Macaca mulatta: one gene and its partners. The protein of the gene in region 3 interacts with the protein of the main gene of each other region in a pairwise test. Links are inferred from orthologs where the notes say so. Each region holds a gene or a part of one and is shown on either strand. Other genes may lie near its edges.

Evidence for each region.
Region 1: the proteins of MBIP (region 3) and RAP1GDS1 interact in binary tests that used the Homo sapiens proteins (3 or more experiments, as listed by UniProt). The two-hybrid records come from large-scale screens. The link is inferred for Macaca mulatta from reciprocal best matches to the Homo sapiens genes MBIP and RAP1GDS1.
Region 2: the proteins of MBIP (region 3) and EPB41L3 interact in a two-hybrid assay, tested with the Homo sapiens proteins (2 studies listed by BioGRID). The two-hybrid records come from large-scale screens. The link is inferred for Macaca mulatta from reciprocal best matches to the Homo sapiens genes MBIP and EPB41L3.
Region 4: the proteins of MBIP (region 3) and PPFIA1 interact in binary tests that used the Homo sapiens proteins (3 or more experiments, as listed by UniProt). The two-hybrid records come from large-scale screens. The link is inferred for Macaca mulatta from reciprocal best matches to the Homo sapiens genes MBIP and PPFIA1.
Region 5: the proteins of MBIP (region 3) and BFSP2 interact in binary tests that used the Homo sapiens proteins (3 or more experiments, as listed by UniProt). The two-hybrid records come from large-scale screens. The link is inferred for Macaca mulatta from reciprocal best matches to the Homo sapiens genes MBIP and BFSP2.
Region 6: the proteins of MBIP (region 3) and MCM7 interact in binary tests that used the Homo sapiens proteins (3 or more experiments, as listed by UniProt). The two-hybrid records come from large-scale screens. The link is inferred for Macaca mulatta from reciprocal best matches to the Homo sapiens genes MBIP and MCM7.
Region 7: the proteins of MBIP (region 3) and NDEL1 interact in binary tests that used the Homo sapiens proteins (3 or more experiments, as listed by UniProt). The two-hybrid records come from large-scale screens. The link is inferred for Macaca mulatta from reciprocal best matches to the Homo sapiens genes MBIP and NDEL1.

The regions. Positions count from the first base shown.
Region 1 is NC_133410.1:107,709,248-107,712,747, reverse strand, and holds part of RAP1GDS1 (rap1 GTPase-GDP dissociation stimulator 1), read right to left. Parts: intron 3,124-3,500; coding exon 2,980-3,123; intron 2,507-2,979; coding exon 2,375-2,506; intron 1,232-2,374; coding exon 1,097-1,231; intron 1-1,096. UniProt on the Homo sapiens protein: Acts as a GEF (guanine nucleotide exchange factor) for the Rho family of small GTP-binding proteins (G proteins) that stimulates the dissociation of GDP to enable subsequent binding of GTP.
Region 2 is NC_133423.1:76,749,355-76,753,625, reverse strand, and holds the start of EPB41L3 (band 4.1-like protein 3), read left to right. Parts: upstream 1-1,471; 5' UTR 1,472-1,758; intron 1,759-4,271. UniProt on the Homo sapiens protein: Tumor suppressor that inhibits cell proliferation and promotes apoptosis. Modulates the activity of protein arginine N-methyltransferases, including PRMT3 and PRMT5.
Region 3 is NC_133412.1:109,439,165-109,443,150, forward strand, and holds the start of MBIP (MAP3K12-binding inhibitory protein 1), read right to left. Parts: upstream 2,801-3,986; 5' UTR 2,658-2,800; coding exon 2,529-2,657; intron 1-2,528. UniProt on the Homo sapiens protein: Inhibits the MAP3K12 activity to induce the activation of the JNK/SAPK pathway. Component of the ATAC complex, a complex with histone acetyltransferase activity on histones H3 and H4.
Region 4 is NC_133419.1:4,394,551-4,398,670, forward strand, and holds the start of PPFIA1 (liprin-alpha-1), read right to left. Parts: upstream 2,801-4,120; 5' UTR 2,616-2,800; exon of another isoform or gene 2,607-2,615; intron 1,352-2,606; coding exon 1,088-1,351; intron 355-1,087; exon of another isoform or gene 1-354. UniProt on the Homo sapiens protein: May regulate the disassembly of focal adhesions. May localize receptor-like tyrosine phosphatases type 2A at specific sites on the plasma membrane, possibly regulating their interaction with the extracellular environment and their association with substrates.
Region 5 is NC_133407.1:36,465,753-36,469,980, reverse strand, and holds the start of BFSP2 (phakinin), read right to left. Parts: upstream 2,801-4,228; 5' UTR 2,773-2,800; coding exon 2,284-2,772; intron 1-2,283.
Region 6 is NC_133408.1:47,403,609-47,406,821, reverse strand, and holds part of MCM7 (DNA replication licensing factor MCM7), read left to right. Parts: coding exon 1-3; intron 4-316; coding exon 317-454; intron 455-734; coding exon 735-884; intron 885-1,068; coding exon 1,069-1,183; intron 1,184-1,268; coding exon 1,269-1,400; intron 1,401-1,630; coding exon 1,631-1,714; intron 1,715-2,515; coding exon 2,516-2,909; intron 2,910-3,207; coding exon 3,208-3,213. UniProt on the Homo sapiens protein: Acts as a component of the MCM2-7 complex (MCM complex) which is the replicative helicase essential for 'once per cell cycle' DNA replication initiation and elongation in eukaryotic cells.
Region 7 is NC_133421.1:9,963,356-9,966,855, forward strand, and holds part of NDEL1 (nuclear distribution protein nudE-like 1), read left to right. Parts: intron 1-410; coding exon 411-562; intron 563-3,500. UniProt on the Homo sapiens protein: Required for organization of the cellular microtubule array and microtubule anchoring at the centrosome. May regulate microtubule organization at least in part by targeting the microtubule severing protein KATNA1 to the centrosome.

The DNA of each region.
Region 1 (3,500 bases), on a different chromosome or scaffold from region 3:
TTTTTTGTCAATTTTAAGAATGGAATTCAGTTGTTTATGTGTGTGTCTGTATCCTATTTGTGTATAAGCGGGTAACAGACAATATCATAATTTTTATGACAATATCATGGCTTTTTAAACCCAATCCGAAACATTTACTTACACAGTTACCCTCTTACAACAATAAAGCACAATTCTGTTTTTGATCCAACTGTGTTAATATAAATGTTATAGACATTAATAAATGTTACTATCCTATATAAACCAATTCAAATGGATTAGATCATCATGTAATTGTACTATTTCATCTAACCAAAAATTTATTTTTAGAAAGTAGAATAAAAGAATAGTTTTAACTATTTTTTGTTGTATTTTCCATAATAATGTGATTTCATGACTTCCAAAGGCACATTAAGGCTATTTTAAAATATTGTACGTCTGCTTATGGAAAAACACCACCAACAACTGAAAGTCATTCTTGAGGGGATTCTGTTAATTGATGTCATTATTCTACCTCAACTAAAGATACTTAAGGCCTGGTGCAGTAGCTCTCACCTGTAATCCCGGCACTTTGGGAGGCCAAGGTGGGCGGACTGCTTGAGCCCAGGAGTTCAAGACCAGTATAAGCAACATAGTGAGATCCTGTTTCTACAAAAAATAAAAAATCAGCTGGGCATGGTGGCACATGCCTGCAGTCCCTGTTACTCAGGAGGCTGAGATGGGAGGATAACTTGAGCCCAGAAGGTAGAGGCTGTGGTGAGCCAGGATTGCATCACTGCACTCTAGCCTGGCTGACAGAGTGAGACCCCCATCTCAAAAAAACAAAAACAAAAAACCGCAAAAAAGCTTAACTATACAACATGATGAAAATCGAAGAATTCACAAAAGGTAACAGGATATCTGAATGAAGGCAGAGATTATTCTTGTACAGTCTCACAAAACTTATTTAACATATGATCTCCATTTATTAGCATGAAAAAATGTAAACAATGTGAAGACTATTTTTTCTTTTTAATTTTCTTCATCAGAGCAGGTTCACAAATCACATACAGTAAATAGCTTCCCCAAATGATGGATTTTATTTTTTACATAGCTGCCTTCTATTCTTAAGTCTTACCTGGAATGGCCAGGTTTCTGAGGGCACTTAGTGCTGCATGCTGTACTGTTACATTTCCATCTTCTACATGTCTGTCCAGTAAATCCATAAGTTTTTCTACAATCCCATTGTCTACCATATGAATACAATTTCCATCTGAAAAAAAACCCACACATCTTTTTCTTCCTCTTTAAAATATCTATAAATATCTTATAATACTGATGTCTGGCTATTATCTACATTAGGGAAAATGGAGGTATACAATAAAATGAATTCCAAATCTTTCTCCCATCAGATTTATAGGTTTTTCTGTTCACTGAGTGAGAAGTATTATCAAAATTCTTAAACTAGATAAAATTTTAAAAATCAGAAAAATTACCAGAAAAATCTTCAGTTTAGAGCCAGATAATACATCAGAAGTAGAAACACATGGTTAGAATGTCCAATATTTTTCATTTATTGTGATGCTTGTGTTCTCCCAATGTTATAGTGATAGTACTCTACCTTTTGCTATCATGGCTGATACCTAAATTATTTTTCAAACATTTACAAAGCAGAGAGAATATTATAATGAACCACTATTTACTCCATATCTAGTTTCAATAATTATCCATATTATGGCACTCTTACCTCCATTATTAGGGAGTCACTCCCAAAAAGGAGGAGTAAAAATAGAGTAAGTCAGCCATTATAATATATACCAACAGTTCGTATTGGAAGATGATTAAACTAAAAAGAAAAATAAACTGTATTTCCTAGACATAGTATATTTCATGAGGAACATAAGAATGAGTTTCTAGACTGTATTTGAGTTTTTTAGTAGTGCCAGATTTCATAACATAGAAGTCTGGTGCCCCCTAAAATACTATTAAACTAAATTAAACATTCTACACAAAGCCAAGGGATTATTCATACTTAAGTTTTATGGGCATAAAAGTATAAGTTGAGGCACAATAATCCTAGAATGAATACTCAATAATTAGATCCAAAATAAAATCACTAGGCAAAAGAAAGCATGTGTATACTAGAATGGGATTCAAACTTACTAAGCTCTGAAGTGCCAAGTATTCAAAAGAAGCACTTCATGATCTTTAAACTATTAGAATTTAGTTGAATTGCATAAAATATGTAATTTGTTAGGAATGTCACTATAAGTATTTCAGATTTCTGAAAAGTTAGCAGCATTATACACATATTACAGAACTTCTAAACTGTTTCAGTTTCAGTATATGTGACGGCAAAGCAAAAATAAACAAATACAGAGTATTTGACTAACAAAGGAGGAACTAATATGCTTACCATTTCTGGCAAAATTTGCAATTGCCAATGCTCCAGCAAGCTGTAGCTGGTGGTTATTTGATGGAATCCAAGAAAGTACCCTTTGAAATACACTGCCTTTTCCTCCTTCAAATAACTTCTGCATGGATTCATCTGGAGGTAAATGAAACAAATAGTTAAGCAAGAGAAAACTAAGAGTAACAAATTCATATTCTTAGGTGAATATCCAACTGGGAAACTCATACTTCACAAACTATTACATTCATAATGGGAAAAGTAATGATTCTTTTTATAATAAACTTTTAATAGATACTAGACAATAGAGTTTAGCATTTTTCTAGTCCAAGTCCTAGGGAGCCATCTAGCTTTTCTTTAATCCCTTGGTGCCAAAGCTATCTCTTCTATGGGACAGCTCTTCAAACGTTGGAAGATGGTGAAGACACTTCTTTTTCGGGTTTGTTATGTCTGGTTCTATCAATGACATGTTTAAGACGTCAAAATCATCACCTCAACAGCAGGTGAGATAGGAATATGAGAAAATGCCTAGGGTAGTATTTACAGAAGAGACAATAAATTAAAAAAAATCTGAAAACAACATTCTTTGGCTGGCATAAATTACAGCTCACCTCCAAGAAGTAATAAAACCATGAGATCTGAACCAGTTTTGAGCTCAGTAATATCATCTTCTTTGTCACTATCCACTTTTTGCTGAACAATCTCTAGTAGACACTCTACCAGGCCTGCTTCAACCAGCTGTAGTTTAATAGCATCTAAAGAACAATGTGAACAAAATAATCAAACTTTGAGATAAAATAGGAGCTCTGGTATAAGAAATCCATTATAAAGAATTATAAGAAACTAAGAAAATGCATGATTTAGATAATACATTTTTGAAACTCAAATCTTCAAAGTAAACTATCTTGACAGTTCAGTTTAAACATACAAAAAACTTTATTTCATGTTTCCATTTGAAATTGTCACATTTTTCACAATGTCTTGCAGCATCTAAACAAATCGATACTCAGCTCTGAAGGCAACTAGTGTCACTCCACTATTACTCTAGATACTATGCTCATGTTTAAAGGGCAAGCCATAAAATACTACAAAATAGGGCTGTGCATGGTGGCTCACGCTTGTAATCCTAGTG
Region 2 (4,271 bases), on a different chromosome or scaffold from region 3:
GAATGCTTTGCCACTAGACTGCTGTCTTCAGGAGTTTCAAGAGCAAAGGTGAGAACTAGTTTGCTTCTTTTGAGAGTGGCCAGAGTAAGCACTTGGCTGCAGGGAAAAAAGTTTGCTTTTAATTTCCAAAGTGGACCCAAGATGATAGGGTCTCATGGAACAAAATCTTTGCTTTGATGCAAGGAACCAGTGCTATGCAGCAGTCTTCCAAGTTACTTACCAACAGTTGAAAGGGTGTGGCTTCTTGACTGGTGCCAAGTGTTTCCAATATGCCCTTGTGTAGCGCCACCTCTGACTTCCTATAGAAAGCCTCTTTCCTCTGCCTCAGCCTGCTGAGGATTCCACAAAACACAGCTAGATGTGAGCTGCATGTGCACACTCCAGTCTCATTTAACAGTGCAACACCTGCACTCTCAAAACCTAGACATTTCCCTAATGGGCTATAAAATGTGCTATTTGGGCAGTTAATTTCAAAATGTTATTAAACTAATAGGCACTTGGCAATGTACCTCTTTCACATAGATACACCCAAGAGTCAGACGTTTCTGGTTGATTGGATGGCTTTCCAGACTTGTGATTGTCATATTTTATAGCTTTTCCTCCTCCAGAACGCTTTACGAAATCCGTTTTCCAGAAAGCACGCCTCCAGGAGCTACTAGGAGGCAGAGTGAGTGAAGACTGGCCTGAGTGCCCAGGGATAGACTGTGCAGTGAACTCTTGTCCAGGTCTTTGGGGTAGAGGTGGAAGGAAAAGAAAGATAATGTTCCCTTTGTTTACTTAGAAGGTCCAAGAGTTGTAGAAAGCACAGGTCTCGTTTTTAGTGTGCACGGGCATATATTCTCATGGCCTGGACTCACAGGCCACAGAATCAAGCAAACACGCATGTGACATACTGAGCCTTCAGGCCTGGAAACCCCGTGGGCACCAGTGGGGATGGCTTTGCAGGCGCTGGAACTGCGGGATCCGCCGCTGCAGGGGTGCAGGCTGGGTGAGAAAAGGGTGCAAGCTGGGTCTACACTGCTCTTCATATTTTGGCGCTTCATGTGAAGTTGGATGATGCTTAAATGAAACAGCCCCCAAGCCACTTTCTGGCCTACATCCCCAGACCGCCGCTGTGAAGTTAACTCTTTTCAGAGATTGCAAAAATTTAATACCAGCAAAAGAAACCAAGTTACCAGGTCCCCTTAAGGCACACGAAAGGACATTTATCATAGCCTCTCCTTTCCCTCCAGTCCCTAGCTACACAAAATTGTGTGTGTGTGTGTGTGTGTGTGTGTAATTCTTTCCCTGCTTGCAGAGACCGCTGGCTATAAAGCCCAGGGAGGCCTGTAAGGAGACCCACACTTTGCGAGCGCGCGGCTCGAGGGCGGGCTCAGGGCGGGGCAGAGCGCCGGGACCGCCCGGGCGCCGGGCGCAGCCAACGAGAGGACCGGGAGGGCGGGCCGGCGAGGGCTGAGCGGCGCGGGCTGTCACAGGCGCCCGAAGCGCGCTGCAGGTGGCAACTTGGAGGTGCCGCCACCGCAGCTGCGGGAGGAGCCCGGGTCTGGCGGCTCCTTCCAGCCTCCAGGAGCTCTTTCCCGCCGCCGAGCCCGAGATTGGACCTCGGAGAATTCGCAAGAAAGAGCCCCTGCGGAGGGACCTGTGAGCAGCCCTACCTCACTCTGCCCTTGCGCTACTTTTTTCCTCCAAGGAAGGTTGTGCCCGCGGGCTGCCAACAAGCTCCGGGAGGGGCCCCAAAGGAAGGCTTCGGTGACCCAGGTGAGCGCCTTTCCCTTCCAGTGCCCCATCCTTCTTGGCAGTCGGGCGTAGGCCGGGAGCGCCGCCTAGCCCCGTGGGTAGGGGCGCGGGTGCGGGCCGCCTGCCCTTGGCTCGAGGTCGACGGGGGAGAAAGCAAGGAAGGGGCGAGGCTGGCCCGACCGGGGGCTGCCGGGCCGGGTCCGCCCGGAAGCGGCAGGGACTCTCGGACCGGCACCTGGAGACTAGGGACGAGCAGAGAGGTGCTTTGAGGCGGACAGAGGGCTTGCGCCCGGTTTAAGCTGGCCGGGATCTACCGCCTGCGCTCTGTGCTGGAGCCGCCGTGGGAGCCGAGCGCGGCGCCTCTGCGAACCCCAGAGCTAGTGCGCGGGGCCCGGCGAGCGCACCAGTCTTCGGTCCCTCGGAGCCCAAGGCCCTGGAGGACGTCATTCCTCTCCGCTCGGGCAACTCCTCCTCCGCCCCGTCTTGCCTCCACCCCTCCGCGCCCGCCGTTTAGCCTATTCGGAGACTCCGTGCTTTTTGCCAGCGCGCGCAGTGGTTGCTGCTGTCACTCCCCTCCCCGCCCTCGCAGGAGTTGGAGCGACCTGGGGTCTGGGTCCCCGGCCCCCGCCGCCTAGTTGTGGGCTGGACGCGAGTGGGGCTGGCCAGTTCTTTGCGAGGAGGGCAGGAGTGAGCGCGGGCTCTCTCTCTAGTGCTCCTTCCGAATCCGTCCCCGCCCGCCCCTGCAGCTCGAACCGCTAGCCCAGAGAGCGGAGTGTCAGAAGCCAGATCTTGTTAGCTCTGGGGAAACTAGGAAGCCTGGGAAGGTGCGAACCTCGCCGATGAGGCCAGAGCCTCCGCCCCCATCTCAGTGTTTCTGCCCCTGCTTTCCTGCTTTCAAGTGGACAGTGGCTTTGACCTCCGCATTCCTGCTTGTGGCGTGGGGGCGCTAGCGGCAGTGTGTGTGTGTGCGGTTTGTAAGGATGAGCGAATGCGATCCTCCGGGAGGCAGAGGCGCAGGAGCCCGTTCCCCCAGCCCGGCAGAGCCGCAGGGACCGCCACCCCTCGCCGCCAGCGGCGCGCAGCTGCAACTCCGCGCTGCCGGTTTCTCTCCTCCCGCTCCAGCTCCCAGTCCCCCCCCACCAACGCGGCATCCCAGGATTAAAATCATCTGGCCAAAGGGTGCGGGTGGGGGATCGAGGTGCTCCCGAGGCGAATGAGGCTGTTTCTCAAAATCCTGGGAGCGCCCCTCGCCCGGCGCTGCATCTTCCGGTGGCTGGGCTGTAAGGACCGGCGGTGGAGGCTTGGCGGAGGCGGGCCCGCGCTCCAGAGAGGCCGTCATGTCACCCGAGAAGCCGACGCTGGGGGCTGCTGAACCTCCGAACTCCCTTTGACGCGTCCTGCTCGGAGCCGGGGAGCTCCTGGCTGGCCGGGGGAGCGCCGCGCGGGAGGTGCGGTGGCCTGGCCAGTGCTGCGGGAGGGCGCCCCGGGCGCGTCGGGGGCTGCGTGGGGGGGCTGGAGAGCGCGCGGGGAGCTGCGGCGGGCTTGGGGCACCCGAGTGGCGCTGGAAGTTGAGCCGGGGTCCGCAGGGCTCGGTGACCGCCCTGGCGCCGCCGCTGCGGATTCGGGAACAGCGGCCACGCGGCGCGTTCGGCCGCCCCCTCGGCCCGCCCGCCGCGGCTTTCGCTTTCCTTCTGCAGAAGTGAAGCCGCCGCCTGGGCTCGCTCCGGCTGGCGACCTTTGCGCCAGAAAAGCCTGAGGTGCTGGAGGCGAAATCCTCCCGGGAGCGAAGGGCGGCGTCCACAAGACAAGGAAAGGGAAGACGCCGGGCTCCGGCGGGTAGCGCAGTCGCGGGAGGGCGGCGCTGAGCGCCAAGGATCCCCGAGGCGAGGCGGACCCAACCCAGCCGGGAGGTGCTGCCCTGGCCCTTGGCGCTCTCTCACAGGGAGCTGGTGGACCCCCCGCCCCTGCCAGTCCGTAACTCCCGTGTAATTCCCTCTGAAGTGCTAAGACTGGGCCGGGAGAGGGCTGGAAGCCACTAAATGAATGAAAGTAGAAACGGTGGTGAATCCCAAATCTAACTATGGTTTAAATCTAAATTCCACGTGATTAGAAACAGATTCTAACCCGGTAGAGCAGGGTCTATGTGGGAGCTCCTATATCGCATTCAAATAATGGCAGTTACTGAGGGACACCGCAAGACTTGCCCCTCCCAGGCTGTAATTGTGCTGCTTTGGGGAGTGGGGGTGGGGTGGGCTCCAGTGTGCCCGTATCATTACACATAATCTAGAACGAGGAAAGAGTGAAGTTCAGGTCGGTTCTGAAATGACCTTGGGAGTCTCCGTCTTCACTTTCCCTTACTTGCCTAGGCAGTTCCCAGTTGGATCAGTTACAGTTCAGACTTGTGACACCAAGGGGTCAAAGAGCCTCCCTTGTAACATTAGATAATAGTCTTCTTAGAATGTGTGGTAACCGTAGGAAAACATTCTCAGTACTGAGGAGCAGAGGTATAAAACCGAAAGTTTGCAACTAGGCTA
Region 3 (3,986 bases):
GAAGATGAGAACAGAAGCATTTAGAAGTCCATATTAGACAAGCGTAAAGATACATGAAATTTCATGTAGGCTGCACTGGCAAAGATTATAATATGTTAAGATTTTACGTTAAAGTGAATGCATTCATTTACATTATTTTAATTCCTATAAAGATTTTGTTAGACAACAACCTGTATTATGTATGGAAGTAACCTATTATTGTACTTTCATAGTCTTCAAAGAGATCTACAGTTGATCACAGAAAACTTAAGAATACAGCTTGGGGATAAAGCAGGCAAATCCTCAACCAAAGCAAAGTATCACATTTTCTAGAGAAAATAACTTATAGAAAAATAAGTCTTAATGTTTCGTTCATAGTGTCATTTCAATTCAGCAGAATTACATAAGCTTCAAGTGCAATTAAGAATAACTGGTCTTTTAAGAAACTCACATAATAATGTCACAAATTAATTTAAAACTATTCTAATACACCTAACTATTCATTCAACAAATTCATTATTAGTAATATGAATTCTATGCATTTTGCCCTACAGAACTTGGAAGAGTAAACCATTCACTCGAAAATCTCTATTAGTCTGCTATTAATATAGACTATTTAAATAAATATTTTCAGTAAACACTTTACTAAATTAATACAAAAATCCAAGCTAAAAATAAGTAAGTGTTTAGCTTGGTAAGATGGACCATCCAGAGGCAAGCAAAAAGGTTAAAATTAGTAAATTTTGTGATCTTAAGTAAAAAATTCTTTTTAACATTCAGTTTTATGTTTCCTACTGAGATCTAATAATACAATGATACTTAGGGATGACACAGGATGAAGTTAGGCATGTTACAACATACCTTCTAGAAATCTTTTAAAGTGGTTGCAAAAGAAAATACTGATTTCTCTGGGGGCAATTTTGCAAGTGTGGAACTCTGGCTTTCACTCTTAATACTTCTCAAAATATAGAGTATTATGAAAACAGTTTGCATTTAACTGATGAAACAATCATATTTTTGACACCTGTATAGGAGGTCCCTTCACTGTGTCATGGTAAAGTAACCAAATATTTACTGTCAACATTTTTGACAGGTGACACAAATAAATTGTAATCGCTTCTTTACTTGTAGAGTACTTGAATGTTTAAAATTTTCTAATGAGTTTGAAAAATTCAGTATGCTAAATGTTTCAAAAGAAACGTTTAAATCATTGCTCAGTATTTTTAAAAAATATTCCATCTTCTGTTAATAGGTGAGCATAAACTTTTTTCATCTTGACATTAGAAAATAAACAAACTTAAGTTCCAACGTCGCCATAAAAAGTTCTCTAACTTTTAAACCATTTAAAAGGTCTTGGGTCTTAAGACTGGAATATATAACAAAACACCCCAAGCCTTTAAAAAACGATTTCGGTAAGCACTTGGCAAACAACTGAATTTAAAAGTTGTATCTTTAAGCAGACTCCATTAATAATTGCGTCATTACATAAAACCGTTTAACTTACAGTAATGTTCTTTGTAAGACACAACACACTATGATTTTTTAAAATAGTAACTTTTTAAAAAGCTGATTCTCCATCTACTCAAGGCTTTAAAAATAATTTTCACAAATCAGACAAATGTTCTATTTTCATAAGAATTTACCATTATCTTTGACACAAATGCCTGCCGTGTCCACATGCGCTAGTGCCAGCCTCAAAACAAACTTTTACGGCTAGAAAATGGTCTATGTAAGATAGAAAATATTTCCTTTTAAAAGGCAGGTAAACAAGCGTACTTTTAAATTGTTTCTCATTTAAAACTTGCTTTTAATTTTACACCGTGAAACGAAACAGTGACTTGATCGAAGAAGCCCACTAAATTCAAAACCAATTTTACTATGGCATTTCTGCAAAAGCGATTTATCAGTCAGTTAAACTAGTTAATAGTTAAATAACGACAGTTCTAAACGCAAACAGCATCAACGATGGATAACTCATCCAACTTTACGCTAGAAGTATTTTAAACGAATTCCTTTTACTTTCCTCCCCATTTGAAAGGGTTATAGATGCCCAAAACAGCCCCAAGGAAAAAAGAAATAAACAAAACCAAGTAACTCATAAGAACAAATTACTCCTTCCCCCCGGCCAAGAAAAAGCTAATAAGCGCGCGCTTTTCTATAAATCTCAGGCCTACTGACCAACCAATTCCCATAAAGAGTAAGTTGGAGGAAAAAGGACCCTGAGCGCTAGGCGCCTCCTAAATTCGCAGTGAAGCTTTTCCACATTCATTCTCCCCAAGCCTGCCTCTTTCGGAGCCGGGTTTTCACTTAGACCAACCTCACCCACTCTTGGAGAGGACAGCTGCAAGGTAAACTACTCGGCTACGGGTACCGCCGTCCTCCTCACTCCGAGCGAGGCGGCTGGGCCCGCGCTCCTCCCCGACCTCGGCTTCAGGGACGGCATCCCACACTTCAGCAGGCCTAGCTGCCCCCGGCCCCTGCTAGAAGAAAAGAATGGAGGGATGGGCCGGATGGCTTCCATATTCCCAGTCCCTCCGGCCACCTCTCACCTGTCCAACCAGGGTTTGTAGGGAGCGAAAGATTTCGTAGAGCACCTCTCGGGAGAGGCTAGGGCTGCATCTTCGCTCCAGGCTCCTGTCACCGCTGTTCGGGCGACTAAGCTCCGTGGCAGCAGCCATGATGCCTTTTCAGGCCGCCCCACCACCACCACCACCACCACCACCACCACCACCACCACCACCACCAACACCACCACCAACACCACCACCAACGTTTGCTCACAACCCCGCTCCCTCCCTTCCAGCTTTAGTCGCTTGGCGATGACGTACGACACGGCGTCTCGTTTAGATCAGGCTTTGAGGCCCCACCCTCTCTATGTGACTGACAAGCACGTTACACCAATCAGTTGCAACTGCGACATTACGCCGAGGCTCTGAAGTGGGAAATTGCAGACCAAAGCTAGGCTGGAAGGCTATATTTGAGGTGGTTATTAGCGTTGTGGTCTGTTTAGCGTTATGAAGCCTACCTTGACTCCCAGATGTTCACTGTGAATCTTGGTAAGAGGAGACATAGTTAAATTTTGTAGTTTGAGTCCCCAAATTAAAAGTTGACATTTTAACATGGCGGTGTGGAGTGGTTCTGGAGGAAGCTTGCTGGTCAGGGATGGAGTGGTGCCCGCAAGTGTTTCTAAACACTGGAAAACTCACACGGAATTGTCATGGTTGGATAGAACATTTTCATCTCTTCAAGTTTTAAGTTGTTGTTTTGGAGGCAGAGTCTCACTCTGTCGCCCAGACTGGAGTGCAGTTGCGCCATCTCAGCTCACTGCAACCTCCGCCTCCCAGTTTCAACCTGCCTCAACCTCCTGAGTAACTGAAACTACAGTTGATATTCTCCATTATAACTGTAGAGACTCTTAACCCTAAAATTGTTTCAAAGAAATGAAACACTGTCAATATAATCCAACAGGAATTTAACCTGGATAAATAATATGCAACCACAATCTTTGAAATTAGGACATAAAACCGAATTGAAATTTTACAAAGTATTATTTATCATAATAGCTTTATTATAAAGATGTTCGTGGGGTTTTGTAATCTTTTAGTCAGACTCCAATATTTTTAAAAAGTGTTATCCAATTTTAAAAAGTATTACAAGAATTTTTAGTGTCAAATTTTATTCAAAAACACTTTAAGAAATAAACATCAGCTGAGAGATAAGGAAGGTGGGATTTAAAACTCTTCATTCTGTTAATAGTCTAATGCATTTACAGTAGAGAAAGCAAAGGTGGAAACTTGCACAATGTGTATTCTTTAGTTTTAGGGTAGACTACATTAAAGGGAAGGACTAACGCATCGAGGAACTAGGATAAGGACGATGGAGATAAAAGAACTCCTTTGACCTGTCCCTAGGGAGTCTCTTAATTAGGCTTTCATTTCCAAAGACAAATGGGATCACCAGGCTTGACAGAATCTTGGAAAATCTTTTCTGTTCCCTTGTTGGCAGCA
Region 4 (4,120 bases), on a different chromosome or scaffold from region 3:
CTACCTGAATGCACCCCAAAGGCACTTAGGATGAGTAACATGGGGCCTAGACAGCTCTGAAACACCTAAGTAACCCACTTCTCTCCCACTATGCTCCGTGACACTCACCTGACACTTTTCTAGTTTTTACACTTTCTCCCTTTACCTACCATTAAGCAAATCCTCATTCAACTCCATGAGCAAAGTCTTTCAAACACTGGTCCAAATGTAATATACTCAGAGAAATAATTTCAGTTGTTCTAAGCTTTAAATTTTTTTTTTTTTTTTTTTGAGACAGTGGTGCAATCTTGGCTCCTCTGCAACCTCTGCCTCCCTGTCTCAAGTGATTCTTATGCCTCAGCCTCTGAGTAGCTGGGACTACAGGTGTGTGTTACCACGCTCCACTAATTTTTGTATTTTTGGTAGAGACAGGGTTTTGCCATGTTGGCCAGGCTGGTCTCAAACTCCTGACCTCAGGTGATCCGCCTGCCTTAGCCTCCCAAAGTGCTGGGATTACAGGCATGAGCCAACACACCCGGCCTAAGCTTTAAAATTCTCGTCTACCAAGGAAGAAGTTCCTAAGGAATCAATCTCCAGTCTTCTATCCCCTAAAACAAATGTGACTTACAAAACCTAGATGTTCTGATAAAGGTGGGCTATCAAAACAGTATTTTTTTTCTGTGAAATCCTATTTGTCTACTAAATTATATTAGGAAATTAGAAACACATGAGACACAATCCATGGGAAGCACAAGTTTAGCAAGAGAAGGTTGAAGACAACAGAACGGAGGCACCACATAGATTGGTTGCTTCAGAGCCCTTTTTCAGAAACTCTGGAGAACTTCCTGAACCTAGGCAGTTCCCAAAGATAGGAATGAAAATAATGAGGTATTTTCACATGACTTTAGAGTACAACAATTTGTTCTCCCTAAGAAGTTTAATCCCTAGGAACTTTGTATTTGACTTAGAAACACCAGAAACCATCATTTCACAAATGGTTATGGAAAATACTCATCTGAAACATTAACAAAAGATGACACCAATTAAAAAAAAAAAAAACATTTAGTGGAGAATAATCTACAGAGTCTCAAGTTAAAAGCACTCATACCTGTGGAAGTGCCGTGTTGAGCTGTCTCTGCAAGGAATCTCTTTCATGACCAACCTCATGTAACTTCCCCTGGGTTAAGGCCAGTGTTTCTTGAGTCTCCCTCAGTGTGTCAAGAAGGCGGTCCCTTTCTTCCAACATGGAGACCATCAACTGTTCAAAATGTGAATCTGCGTCTGGCTGCGAAGGGGAGCCGGAACCATGGCTTCCACCTCCTCCAGGGGGGCCTTCTGCTTCGCTGATGGTCGGCATCACCTCGCACATCATCTTGAAATGAAAGAGCCAGGCTACAGTCATCAAGTGCAGAATACAGGTTCCCACAAATATGCAACTTTACAGGTATCTGTAGCTAAAAAGAGGGGCAGCCTCATTATCCTCAGATCTGTTACGCTTTGTGTGTAAATAAGCTGGGAAAACATATACCGGGCAAATATTAAGTGCAGAAATACACAACATGAAGACATTAACACAGACAAAAATCCAGGGAAGGGGTCAAGATACCAGAGGACTACCCTCACAAAAAAGGGCAAACCCTGGGGTAGTCTGTTTGCAAAGCTGTACTTGTTTTTGTCGAAAACAAGTGTGCTTCTGTTACCTAATTTTTTTTTACTTCCCAGTGGGGGGTGGGGGGGGGAGAAGAAAGTCAAAACACATGTCACCCAATCATTTTTCAGGAAAAGCACAGAAGGAGCATACAGCCAGCAAAACTGACAAGTACAAAATCCATCAGGCATCTTGCAGGAATGTGTGCAGTCAGCTCCTGTGAAGAACTGACGGCTCCCTGAATTCTTGAGCTGGAGCTGGTGAGCACTAAAAGGAACTGGATTCGTTAAACGCTGGCAGAAGTGTTTTTTTTCAATGGCTGCAACGGTTGATCAGTCAACCTAACTTACGTAAGTTTACAACCGAAAAAAAAAAAACTCACAATGGAAATATAGCAGGTCGATATACAGCCGGAGGCGGCTAGGAAAGAGGGAAAAGTGAAAGGTGAGATGATGAGAGGCATTAAGTGTCTGGGATATAAAGACAGCGCGAGGGGATGGGGAAGTCGCTTCTGAGTCTTTCGGGCAGTATTCGGGGCGCGATGGACCCCTGAGAGAGGATGGCCCAGGCGGCGCACCTGATGGGGATGACCTCCAGCCTGCTCGAACCGTACTCCTTCCCCTCCTGTATCAGGTGCGGCGGGAGCCCCGGACCCCGGAGGTGAGGACCGTTGACAACGGAGCCCGCTCGGGCCGGGGCTTTCAGCGGCCGCAGTTCCCCGCCCCTCGCCCCAGCGCCCAGGTCACGGGGCGCAGGGCTCGGGGAGGGGCGGCGCGCAGTCCCCGGAGCCATCCCTCGGGGCGCTGGGGTCCCGCCAGAGCTCTCCCAGCGCGACCCGGCGCCGCGGCCTCGCCCCCACCCGCCCCGGAGCGCACCCTTCCTCGCGAACACATCCAACCGGCTGCGTGGCCGCCGCGGAGACCGGGACCAGCCGGTGACGCCTGGGCCCCGAGCCTGCCTCAGTGTCCCGCTCCCTTACCTTGCTCACCGGCGGGAGCGGGCGAGGAGGCTCCGCGGCGGCTCGCGGGCGGCTGCTCGCTCCGGGCGAGCTTGGGAGCCGACGAAGGCAGCCCGCGGCCGGCGTCCGCCTGCCCGCCCCACGCCGCGGCCCCGGGGCCCGCCGCCCCAGTCACTAAGGCCGGCCCGCGGCCGGACACTGGCGGAGCGGAGGAGGAGCGGGCCCGGCTGCGCGGCGCCGGCGTCGACGTGCCCGACGTCGAGCGCGTCGGCGCGAGCGTCAGCACCGCCCCGGGGGCGGGGCCCGAGGAGGACCGCGGCCCGAGTGCGCAAGCGCTGTCGCCTCAGGAGGGGGCGGGCGGCTGCTCCGGGGAACTGATTGGCTGAGCGAGACGGGAGCCACGCCCCCAGGCCCCGCCCGGGTCGGTGGGGGGTCTCCGGGATGAGCCACAGGTGGGCGCTCAGGTGCTCGCCGGGTCAGCGTCTTCCTCCGGGCATCCCTAGTCTCCTCCCACTGCTGCGGGGACGCCGGCGGCCTTTGCCGAGTATGTGCCGCGCCTCGGGTTCTGAGGCGGACGCGTCCCGCACGTCAGGTCCCTCCCGAGCTGGAGGCGCTGGATTCGCACCTTGTGAGGAAGAGCGAGCCGAGGCTTCAGCCACTGCCGCGGGCCCAGACCCCGCCCGCCGCGTCGCTCCCAGGGTCTCCCCGGGCCTGATCGGGGTTCAGCAGGACGCGGTTCCCGCCAGGACCCACTTACGGAGCGCAGCCTGCTGCACCTGGGGACGCTCCGGCGCAGCGTCCAGCGTGCAGGCTTTGCCGCTGTGGCTTTCACTCTGCAGCGTGGGCCCGGGCGATTCGGGAAGCCCGCCTGGGCTTCAGCGCCTCCGATGTAGGATGGGAAAATGATGCAGACCTACCTGCGAGGCTGCTTTAAGATATGAATCAGATGTGGAGTGACTAGTTGAGAACCTGACGGGCGGCCCTACAGAAGTCTTGGTCATTTCATTCTTTCCGCAAGTTTTGTTTTGTTTTGTTTTCCCAGACGTTGTTTCACTCTCGTCGCCCGGGCTGGAGTGCAATGGCGCCATCTCGGCTCACTGCAACCTCTGCCTCCGGGTTCAAGTGAGTCTCCTGCCTCAGCCTCCCGAGTAGCTGGGATTACAGGCGCACGCCACCTAGTCCAGCTAATTTTGTATTTTTAGTAGAGACGGGGTTTCTCCATATTGGTCAGGCTGGTCTTGAACTCCCGACCTCACGTGGTCTGCCCGCCTCGGCTTCCCAAAGTGCTGGGATTACAGGCGTGAGCCACTGCGCCCGGCCTCAGCAAGCATTTTTAAACACCTACTGTGGGCCAAGTCTTGTGCTAGATGTTGTATTTACGGAGATGAATAGAGACACCTCTAATTAATGAAAGAGGATGCTCTCCCCACTCCTCCCAGGGTTTGACTTGGCGCAAAAACTCTTCACAAACCAGAATGACAGGACACCATCGCCAGTGTCCACTGGCCACCGTTGTTGGTGTGAGGCAGCCAGGA
Region 5 (4,228 bases), on a different chromosome or scaffold from region 3:
CCAGCCTGGTCAACATGGTGCAACCCCATCTCCATTAAACGTACACAAAAATTAGCTGGGCATGGTGGCATGCGCCTGTAATCCCAGCTACTTGGGAGGCTGAGGCAGGAGAATCGCTTGAACCTGGGAGGTGGAGGTTACAGTGAGTCAAGATCACACCACAGCACTCCAGCCTGGGTGACAGAACGAGACTCCATCTCAAAAAAAAAAAAAAAAAAGAAAAGAAAAAAAAAGAAATAATAACTCCATTTTATCAATTGGTCTAATTTCAAGGCCATGAATTTTTTAAAAAAGAAGAAAAAGAGAACTTTATTAATACCCAGGACCTCATTTACAATCACTGAAGAGGAAAGTGAGCCCATGTGGGACCCTGGCCCTCAGCTACAGAGGTCGCATGTCTTGGTGTGTGGCTGCGGCGCTCACAGGATTTTAGAGCTTCCTAGTCTGTACTCTACCTGTAGGCAGGAGCCAGTCATCTTATTTGTCTGTGGATTTGCAGGAATATCTAAGCATTATTATACCCATTTTGTAGATAATGAAACTGAGGCCCAGAGAAGTCAGTACGTTGCAAGGGCTCTTGTAGCTATCTGGAGCCAGAGCAAGTCGGTATCTATTGAGTATAAACTAAGTTTTGTGGCCCTACTTTTTAACCTAGCCATTGGGACACCTGATTTCTCCTGACAAGTCTGTGTGGCATCTGAGTGCAAGCGATTGTCCAGCAGATGCTGACATATTGGAGTATCTAGGGATGTTCTGGTGGTTGTTATGGCACAATATTTGGACAGTTGTGAAGAATCCTGGAGGAATGGCTGCCTCTTAGATTTGACAGGCATTAAGACCCTGGACTATTCTAAGATGGCTCTCCCTCGCAGCCCGGATGGATGCAAGCAGAACAGCAGCACCAGGGGGAGAGCCTGAGAGGATGGTGCTGCTCATCATGCACTCTGTGCTGTCAGTGGGCACTGAGAGCAGTGCAGGAGAAGCATCCTGGGACGAAATGGGAGGCAGGAAGGGCAAATGGGGAGTCCCTGTGTGCACCTGCTTAGCATCCCCCGGCTACACACAAATAAAATTTTGTGACTTCCTCTTGGGAGGCTGCATACTGGACTCCAGGGGGCCAAGGGTCTGAGTTGGCAGTCCCTGGTGGGTTAGAGACTGATTTTGCTCAGAGTGATCCCAAGACCAGCGTCTGGAGAGAAAGAGGAGGAGAGAAGCCAACCATCCACAGAGAGACCAGCTGAGAGGTGCAATGCTGGCTGGAGTCCCAGCATTAGAACTACAGGCTGCAGGCCAGACATGATGGATGAGCTCCAGACTCTGCAGAAATCACCCTGGAGAGTGGGAAACGCAGGGCTGACCAAGCAAGGGAGAAAGATGAAACCTCTGCATCCTTCCCTGTCCAATAAGATGGCCATTAGCTACCCATGGCTGTTTACATTTAAATTAATGAAAATTAGATAAAACAAAAACGCAATTCCTCAGTCTCATTAACCACATTTCAAGTGCTTGATAGCTATATCTGGCTAGTGGCTGCCAGATTGGACAGTGTAGATATAAGATATTAATATTTCCATCATGCAGAAAGTTCTACTTGAATGTAAATTATCTCATTCATATATTTTGTATTGATTACATGTTGAAATAACATTCTGGACATATAGAGTTAAGTAAGCTATACTATTAACTTTACCTGCTTCTTTTTACTTGTTTTACTGTGGGTAATAGAAACTTGTTGATTACCAATGTACCTCACATTTCTGTTGAACAGGGTGATTATAGGTGGATACAGGAACACACCTCCATTTATTCATTGTTCTTAATACCACATCCATCCAATGGTATTTGACTGGATAATAACTGTAAAAATCCCTTCTCAACAGTAAAGGTGACTGAGGCAGCTCAGGGTAATGGGGCACATGCAACTTTGAAGGCACAAAAATTCAGATTCAAATCTCATCTTCATCCCTCTACTAGCTTTGAAGTCTTGGGAAAATTACATGCCTCAGTTTCTCATCTCAAAAGTGCAATCAATGAATGATCCGCTGCATAGCATGTCTTCGAATTGTAAAGAAGACAGTGGATAGTGCACGTATGGGGGCTAGCGTGGGCTCCTGGTAAACCTTGGTAAAAAGGAGCATTGTTGTTATCATGAACATTTTAAGTGTGAAAGTGTAGGGCATTATGGTCAGTTTCTCTGGCCTCAGCCTACTCACAACCTTACTCCTGCCCTCAGCAGCCCCTCCCAGCCCTCTGCAAAGCCCTTGGCACAGCCTGGACACTTACCTGCTGGCAGCTGCTGGCCCAGGAAGCCCGTAGGGCACCCCAATTTCCCGAGCGCGTGGCCTTGCTCTCCAGGTGCATCCGCAGTTGTGTTTCCAGCTCCTGACTGACTTGTTCAAGGGCATGCACTTTGGCCATATATTCCACCAGGCAGCCCCCTAGGTCCTCAACAGCACCATGGTCCCTCTCCAAACCTGGAGCCGGCACTGTGGCCAGGCCTGAGCTCCGCAGGCCCTGAAGGAAGACACTGCTGATGCCGAGGGCCCGGCGGGTCACACGGGCACCCAGGCCACCTATGCACCCACTGGGTGCTGTTCCTACATAGACCCCAGGTGCTCGGACAAGGCCACTCATGGCATTGGTCCTGGAGGCTGGGGGGCTATCCAGGGAGGATGATGACCGTGGCCCCCTGAAAGATGCCCTGCGCCTCTGGAGGGGCATGCTGGAGCTGGCACTGGGGGGCAGGTCCACTACTACTCGCCTCTCGCTCATCACCCCTTCTGCCTCTGTGGCGCCCAGTGGGTTTACAGAGTCCAGTGGCTTTTGGTTTACAGCCCCAGCATCCCTGTGGCCTGGTCACGGGCCTCTCTGGAATCTCCCCTATCCCCGGGGCTGCTTTGTCTGCTGTCTTCCATGAGTTTCCATCATTCACTGAGCTGAAAGAGAAGAGGGCACTGCCCAGGGCTGTGTGCAGAGAGGCACTCATGCATTCTTTGATGCAGGGTCATGTGCCCAACCTCCCAGATTATTCTGCTGGTGGTGGGGGAGGCTGGATCAGTGCAGGCTGTGGGGGTAGACCATTTGGGTTTGTACATTTTACTACCTAAGAGTGGGCAAGGCAGGCATCAGGCAACCCCATTTTACAGACGAGTAAACTGAGGCTCAAGGACCTCAGATCACAAGTGTGGTGATCACTTGCCCCAGACCTCAAATTACAAGCTAGGACTCAATCTAGCTATTTTGGGGCTTTCTACATCCCTATGTGTACTGGCACATGTGAATGTGAACACATGTCCACACAGGCAATGGAAGATGAAAAGTGTCAGGAGGCAGCTCCAGGGACCCAAGAGAAAAGACTTGCCTACGGTTTCCTCTCTCAGTCCTGACAGCAGCTTCAGGTCCTTGCCTCGCCTCTCTCCTTTCCTCCTCAGCTCTGTCCTCTAATGCTCTGCTGTTCATCAGCTGCTTGCTGTTGGCCAGGATGCTTCCTCCCTCTGGACCTCACTGTTTGAACATTGGCATGAGCCTCCAACTCTCTGATGCACCAGATAAGGACCTTGGGTAGATTCAGGTCCCACACATTATGTTCCAGCCATTCCCTACACCTCTGCTTCTCCATCTGTTGGAAAACTGAGAAAAACAACAAAGACGGTGTTTTCCGGTAAGCTCTCCAAGGGTGCCCCAAGTTAGGATATGATGACACCCCTGGGTTTTAATTACTGACCTTGGCATCCACTAAACCATCAAGGGTCACACCTCAATCCATTCTCTAGGGTCAGAAAGGTTCCTCCAGTTCCAGGATGACAACATGGACCTAAAAACCGCTGTACATAAGTTTTACCCTGGAGAAACCAGGTCACCAAACCCCAGAGCTGGATATTTTTCCAAATGCTGTAATGTAGGAATGTACCTCAGGTGAGAGAAGGAGAAGGGAGCCAACCTCTAGTGAATACCTGATCCAGCCTGGTGTGTGGATGAATCGTATAGTTTATTTCATGGAATTCTCAACTCAGCCTCAGGAGGAAGGAGGTCCAGGGTTGACAGGTACTGCCATATGGGCTGTGAACCTCACAGTTCCAAAAGTACCATATCATATGTTCTACAGTTGGCCACTATCCTCTTACGTGAGGAGGACCCTGAGAACTGCAATGACTTGCCCAAGGTCCCGTGTCCAGAAAGTAGCAGAGCTGGGAGCAGACACCCTCTTCCAACCTCTGGGCCAGTGACT
Region 6 (3,213 bases), on a different chromosome or scaffold from region 3:
CCGGTACGTGTGGAGCAAGGAGCAGGAAAGCCCTTACCCATTAGTCGTTTTGTAGAGATTAATTTGATCCTGTGATGCCTATCATTTTCTTTGCTTGTAAAAGTTGTCTGTGTGTTTGCCTTTCATTGTTGGGTATGTCATGGTCTTTCTACCTATTTCTTGGGTGTTTGTTGTTGACCCAGAGTTAAGTTCAAAGGGTTCTTGACACTTCCAAGATGTCTGCCATGAAGAGAAAATGTGATTCAAGGAACCGACCGACCCAATGGGGCTCTTTTGCTTCTGACTTCCTTTTGGTGCTTCTGTTCTCACATCCTAGATCCAGTCTCCAACTTTCATGCCTCTGATCATGTGCCCAAGCCAGGAGTGCCAAACCAACCGCTCAGGAGGGCGGCTGTATCTGCAGACACGGGGCTCCAAATTCATCAAATTCCAGGAGATGAAGATGCAAGAACATGTGAGTTTGGGGTACGTGGCCCTGGGCAGGTGGATTGAGAGTCCACTTGAATCCTGTAGTCACTTGTGGAGTGGCAGGAAAAAAGAAGAACGAAAGAGGGAAGTGCAGGAGGGAAGTGGAACTAGAATTTCTGAGAGCCTTGGGAAGGGGAAACTCAGTAGCCCTCCTGTGGGCTTGTCTGTGACTAGGCAGCCTGGGAGCCTTTGAGTGGGATGCCTAGGGAGGGAAGGTTGGGTCCTCGTCCATTTCTCCTGGCCTTATGTGCCTTTCTCTCCCCTAGAGTGATCAAGTGCCCGTGGGAAACATCCCTCGTAGTATCACGGTGCTGGTAGAAGGAGAGAACACGAGAATTGCCCAGCCTGGAGACCACGTCAGCGTCACTGGTATCTTCTTGCCAATCCTGCGCACTGGGTTCCGACAGGTGGTACAGGTAAGGAAGAGTTTGACATGAGGATCGTCCCCTTTTCCCTCACCTACTCATTCTACTCGCACAGAGAAAAGTGGGCAGCAAAACCCCAAACAGAACCCAGGGATTTGTCAAGAAATCGTTAGGGAATCCAGTGATGGGCAAGTTGAAGGGATTGCATCTGTATCCTGGCATTTTCCTGCCCAAGGGTTTACTCTCAGAAACCTACCTGGAAGCCCATCGGATTGTGAAGATGAACAAGAGTGAGGATGATGAGTCTGGGGCTGGAGAGCTCAGCAGGGAGGAGCTGAGGCAGATTGCAGGTGAGGGGCAGGGGAGATAGAGGAAATTCCATTTACATCCTAGCCCCCTTTTCCCCCAAAAAATACAACCTTAACTTCTCTACAGAAGAGGATTTCTACGAAAAGCTGGCAGCTTCAATCGCCCCAGAAATATATGGGCACGAAGATGTGAAGAAGGCACTGCTGCTTCTGCTAGTGGGGGGTGTGGACCAGTCTCCTCGAGGCATGAAGATCCGGGGTAAGAAGGAAAAAGGGAGAGGCTCGGGGGGATGAAGTCATTTAGGAGGGAAAAAGGATGACAAGTGTCTCTGTAGGTCAGAGTATAAGAGTGGACATCTTGCGTTCATGGACACAGGGAGGGCTTAGAAGTAATGCTGGGTGTTAGAGGGAGGCAGAACTCAAAATTGCTCTGTTGTTGTCTAAGTATTGGGAGAAGAGTCATTCCAGGGCTGCCTTCCCTTCCTCCAGGCAACATCAACATCTGTCTGATGGGGGATCCTGGTGTGGCCAAGTCTCAACTCCTGTCGTACATTGATCGGCTGGCCCCCCGCAGTAAGTAGTTGGGCCTTGGGAGAGGTGAACATAGTGACAGATAGGGCCACAGTGTTTATTCAAAAAATGGGGGTGCATGGTGGCTCACACTTGTAACCCCAATGCTCTGAGAGGCTGAGGCGGAAGGATCGTTTGAGACCAGGCTGGTCTACTAAAAAGTTTGTTTGTTTGGGTATTTTTGTTTGTTTGTTTCCTTTTTTTGAGACGGAGTCTCAGTCACCCAGGCTGGAGTGCAATGGCGTGGTTTCGGCTCACTGCAACCTCTGCCTCTCAGGTTCAAGCGATTCTCCCTTCTCAGCCTCCTGAGTAGCTGGGACTACAGACACGTGCCACCACACTTGGCTAATTTTTGTACTTTTAGTAGAGATGGGGCTTTACTATGTTGGGCAGGCTGGTCTCGAACTCCTGACCTCATGATCTGCCTGCCTTGGCCTCTACCAAAGTGCTGGGATTACAGGTGTGAGCCACTGCGCCTGGCCTCTACTAAAAAGTTTTAAAAATTAGTTGGGTGTGGTAGTGAGTGCCTATAGTCTCAGCTACTTGGGAGGCTGAGGCTGGAGGATGGCTTGAGCCCAGGAGCCAGGGTGTCAGTGAGCCACAGTTGTGCTCTGAAGAGAACCGGTGGGAGGGGAAGGGGAACGTTGCCAGCCCCCCACAGATCCTCGGGCGTCTCAAGAAGGCCTGGGGGAGGCAGTGGAATGATCCCAGCACAGGCCTTGCTTCCCTGGCCCATTTATTGTCCTTTGTTTGTTCCCCTTCTTGTTCTTTCTCTCTTATGGTTCCTTATTTCTTTTCTTCCAGGCCAGTACACAACAGGCCGGGGCTCCTCGGGAGTGGGGCTTACGGCAGCTGTGCTGAGAGACTCCGTGAGTGGAGAACTGACTTTAGAGGGTGGGGCTCTGGTGCTGGCTGACCAGGGCGTGTGCTGCATTGATGAGTTTGACAAAATGGCCGAGGCCGACCGCACAGCCATCCACGAGGTCATGGAGCAGCAGACCATCTCCATTGCCAAGGCCGGCATCCTTACTACACTCAATGCCCGCTGCTCCATCCTGGCTGCCGCCAACCCTGCCTATGGGCGCTACAACCCCCGCCGCAGCCTGGAGCAGAACATACAGCTGCCTGCCGCGCTGCTCTCCCGGTTTGACCTCCTCTGGCTGATTCAGGACCGGCCTGACCGAGACAATGACCTACGGTGAATGGAGCTCAACACCCAAAGAGAGGTCCCCTGTAATGATCTATAGGGAGGAGGGGAGGTGAATCAAAACAAATACTGTGCTCCTGGAAACCCCAGAGCCTCCCCCTTGCATCAGGGGCTGGTCCACGGTTCTCGGGGAAATGGTGGGTTGGGGCTGAAATGCTGATGAGGATTTTCAGGAAAGCGTGTCCCTCCTATACTGTAAGGAAGTGGCAGAGTCAAGGGAGGGACACCTAAGAGGACATGGGTGTGTAGCCCTAAAAAGGATGTTCCTCCTGGCCTCCCCTCTATCCAGGTTGGC
Region 7 (3,500 bases), on a different chromosome or scaffold from region 3:
TCTCAAGTGATATTTTTGGGTTTTTTAATAGTGCTTGCTCCCCAAACACACCCTGCTCCTAACACCAACCAACAGTCTACAATTTAGAAACGAACAACGGATGGGACAAGAGACCTGGGGTCTGCTGTTCGACCTCCCGTGCCACACTCTTCTTACTTGTGAGGGGAAGATTACGTGTATTTCCCTCAGTAACACTAAGAGGAAAAAATAAAATATTCTGAGCTCATTAGAAAGGGAGCATAAGTATTCTGCCTTTTTATTAGAAAGTTGATTGATCATGGCTGAACTAACCACCATTATCAACTGAGATGAGTAGGTTTTGAGGCTTGAAATAGAAATGGTTTGAAATGCAAATTTTTATGTGCAGCTACTGTTTTGACAACCGTATCATTCCTTCTTTTTTTTTGTAGGCTTTAGAATCCAAATTAGCAGCTTGCAGGAATTTTGCAAAGGACCAAGCATCACGAAAATCCTATATTTCAGGGAATGTTAACTGTGGGGTGCTGAATGGCAATGGCACAAAGTTCTCTCGATCAGGGCATACATCTTTCTTCGACAAAGGGTAAGTCCTGAATGTTTTAAGTGATAATTTTTTGAGTAGTAAAGTGACATTATTAAGTGAGCATAATGAAGCCTTGAAAAGGTAAACTCAGCTTGGCAAACCTGCCTGCAGCCTGTTACCATTCTAATCTTAGGGGACATGATGTCTGTTGTTGTCCTCTAGTCCCCGTGGAGTCTGTTGCCCCAGGAACGCTGAATCTGAGGCTTCTGTCCTGGGAAGCAGACTCTTGAAAGGCAGCAGTGTGAGGCTCTGGTGAGTCAAAACGACTGTGATAAGGTCCCTGTTCTCCAGGTGCTTACAGGCTGGCAGACTTGCAAATACTTTTTTGGGGTAGAAGAGAGCATCACAATTAAATATATGCAAACTGTACAACAGACATCCCCTGTGAGAATTTTGGAGAAATATAAAGCCCTGAAGTACTTAGGCACTGGATCAAATACAGTTTAGGAGATACAACTTTTGTATAAAGTTAAGGCTGTTTTGAAGACTGAAATAAAATTGTCTTAAGACTGAAGCATCCTTAATGCAAAAAATTTCAGTTGGTATAGAAGTATATGAACTAAAAAGTCATTGTTTCCTGCCTTCACACTGTTTCTGCGTTCCTTACAGTTATTCCAAGGCATGTCAAATCCTATTTTTATGCATCTGCTCTAAGTTGTTTGTAACACAGTTATGGGATTTTACTTTAAATATTGCTTTGCAATGTGCCTATCATGACTTATATTGCCATTATCTTTCCATGTCATGTATATTATTCTACCTCAATTTACTTATTTTTAAATACTGCATGGTAATACATGGTTGTACAAGTATGCCTTAATATGGGTCACTGTTAGGACCCGTGGCCTGGGATGCTCACGGTGCTGCCTAAGGTAGTTGTTACTGAAGCAGCCAACAGGCACCCATGATCCCCTGCCACTGTCTCTGCTTTGAGTCATAGAGGTCATTCTTGCTTGTTTTTCTCTGAAAGCAGAACAGGTACAACTCTAGAAATGTTCACGATTTCTTAAAGCAGCTGGCATTTTCTGCCATCCCCAATAATTGTGGCCCATTTATAAAGGAGCAGATTTGACACACAGTGCACTGTGAAAAGGCTCTTCTCCTTGTGGTGGAATGTTTTGGTTGATCTCTGTCCCTTAAGAGAATTTCACCCTGAGGTATATACATTTCATTAAGGGTTTTGTATTAAAAACACATTCTGAAACCTCACTATACAAATTAGAACTTTATTCTTTTTTTAACAAATTTTTTAAATAATTTTTTTTTTCTTTGGAAGAGATGCGGTCTCACTGTGTTGCCTAGGCTGGTCTGAAACTGCTGGGCTCAAGTGATCCTCCTGCCTCAGCCTCCCAGAGTGCTGGGATTGCCACCGCGCCCAGCTGAAATCAGAACCTTATTCTAACCATTGGGTTTCCTCGGGTGGAGTAAATATAAAATTGATTTTCCTCAGGCTTAGGAGTTTCAGGCAGACTTGAGGCAGCCCTTGTTTTTATACTGGAATGGTAAATGGAATGACTGGACGGTTTTACATGAAAGTAGCCATTTCCCCTAAATGATATGGAGAATGTTTAGGGTAGTCTTCATAAATGTTGGAAACAGTGCCTAATTATTTTTCCCTACAACTTATAATGACCCTCTACTAGAGTAGTTATTAGTCTCTCCTTGGAGTCATATTTCTTGATGGGCCTCAGGTGCCTTACATGAGAGCAGGCATGAACCATAAATGGATAGGTTGGACAGGTGCCTGTGCATGTGGAAGCCCTTAAGAACAGTCACGAGGAGGGAAGGATGACACTGTCTGTTCAGGGTCGCTACTCCTGCCTGCCACTTGCCTCCCAAGGCAGAGCACCTGGGCAGGGATTGCCAAGAGATGTGGGGACCTCAGGGTGAGCTGAAGCCAGGAACGGGCCTTGGGCACACTGGCTGCACCCCTGTCCCTTGAGAGCATCCGAGATGCAATTGTAGGCTTTACTTCTTGAGCTGAACCCGGAGTGGCTGTGCTTCCCAATCAGAACAGTTGCGGATACTTAGTGTTGGTTTTAAATGATAGACATTTTACATTGTGCCTTTTCCATTAAGAAAAACGCTTTTGTGAAGTGGCTATCGTGTGAGTGTTTAGCTTATGTGATAAGTAGATTGTGTATGCACACTGGAATAGGAACCTACTGGTGCTGGTGTTTTCTTTCTAGTTGCTGTATTCCTGAGGAGAACTCTTTTGTGGGTTTTGCTGTGTTTTCACTTTCTGGCCGCTTTGCTTCGATTCTGGCTTCTGGCCTGCCTGGCTTTTTACCTCTGGCCTTTCTTCCTGCCGACCTGTTGACCAGATAAACACCAAGATGTTGTGTACCGCCTGCAAAAGGAAGGGCAGGCTATCGTAGTTCCTAGGTCCATGACACACTCTGGCAGGTTAAAGAACACAAAAGCCTGTCTGTATAGAAGTGTAGAAGCATGGCTTGTCGTTTCAGCAGGAGAAGAGCGCCCCATTGGAAAAGGCCTCCACTGCAGAACCTGCCCTCCCTCCCTCTCACTCCTGAGTCCACTGTAGAACCTGCCCTCCCTCCCTGTCACTCCTGAGGTGTCTAGCACCGTGGCGATAGGTCACTAGTGCCGCTAGAAACCTGTGGCAGGGTTGTTTGGGGGAGAGATGTCATCAAAGTAGGTTTGTGTGGGTGTCCGTGTGTGTGCGTGTCCGTGTGTGTGCGTGTCCGTGTGTGTGGGTGTCCGTGTGTGCGGGTGTCCGTGTGTGCGCGTGTCCGTGTGTGCGGGTGTCCGTGTGTGCGCGTGTCCGTGTGTGCGGGTGTCCGTGTGTGCGCGTGTCCGTGTGTGCGGGTGTCCGTGTGTGCGCGTGTCCGTGTGTGCGCGTGTCCGTGTGTGCGCGTGTCCGTGTGTGCGCGTGTCCGTGTGTGCGGGTGTCCGTGTGTGCGCGTGTCCGTGTGTG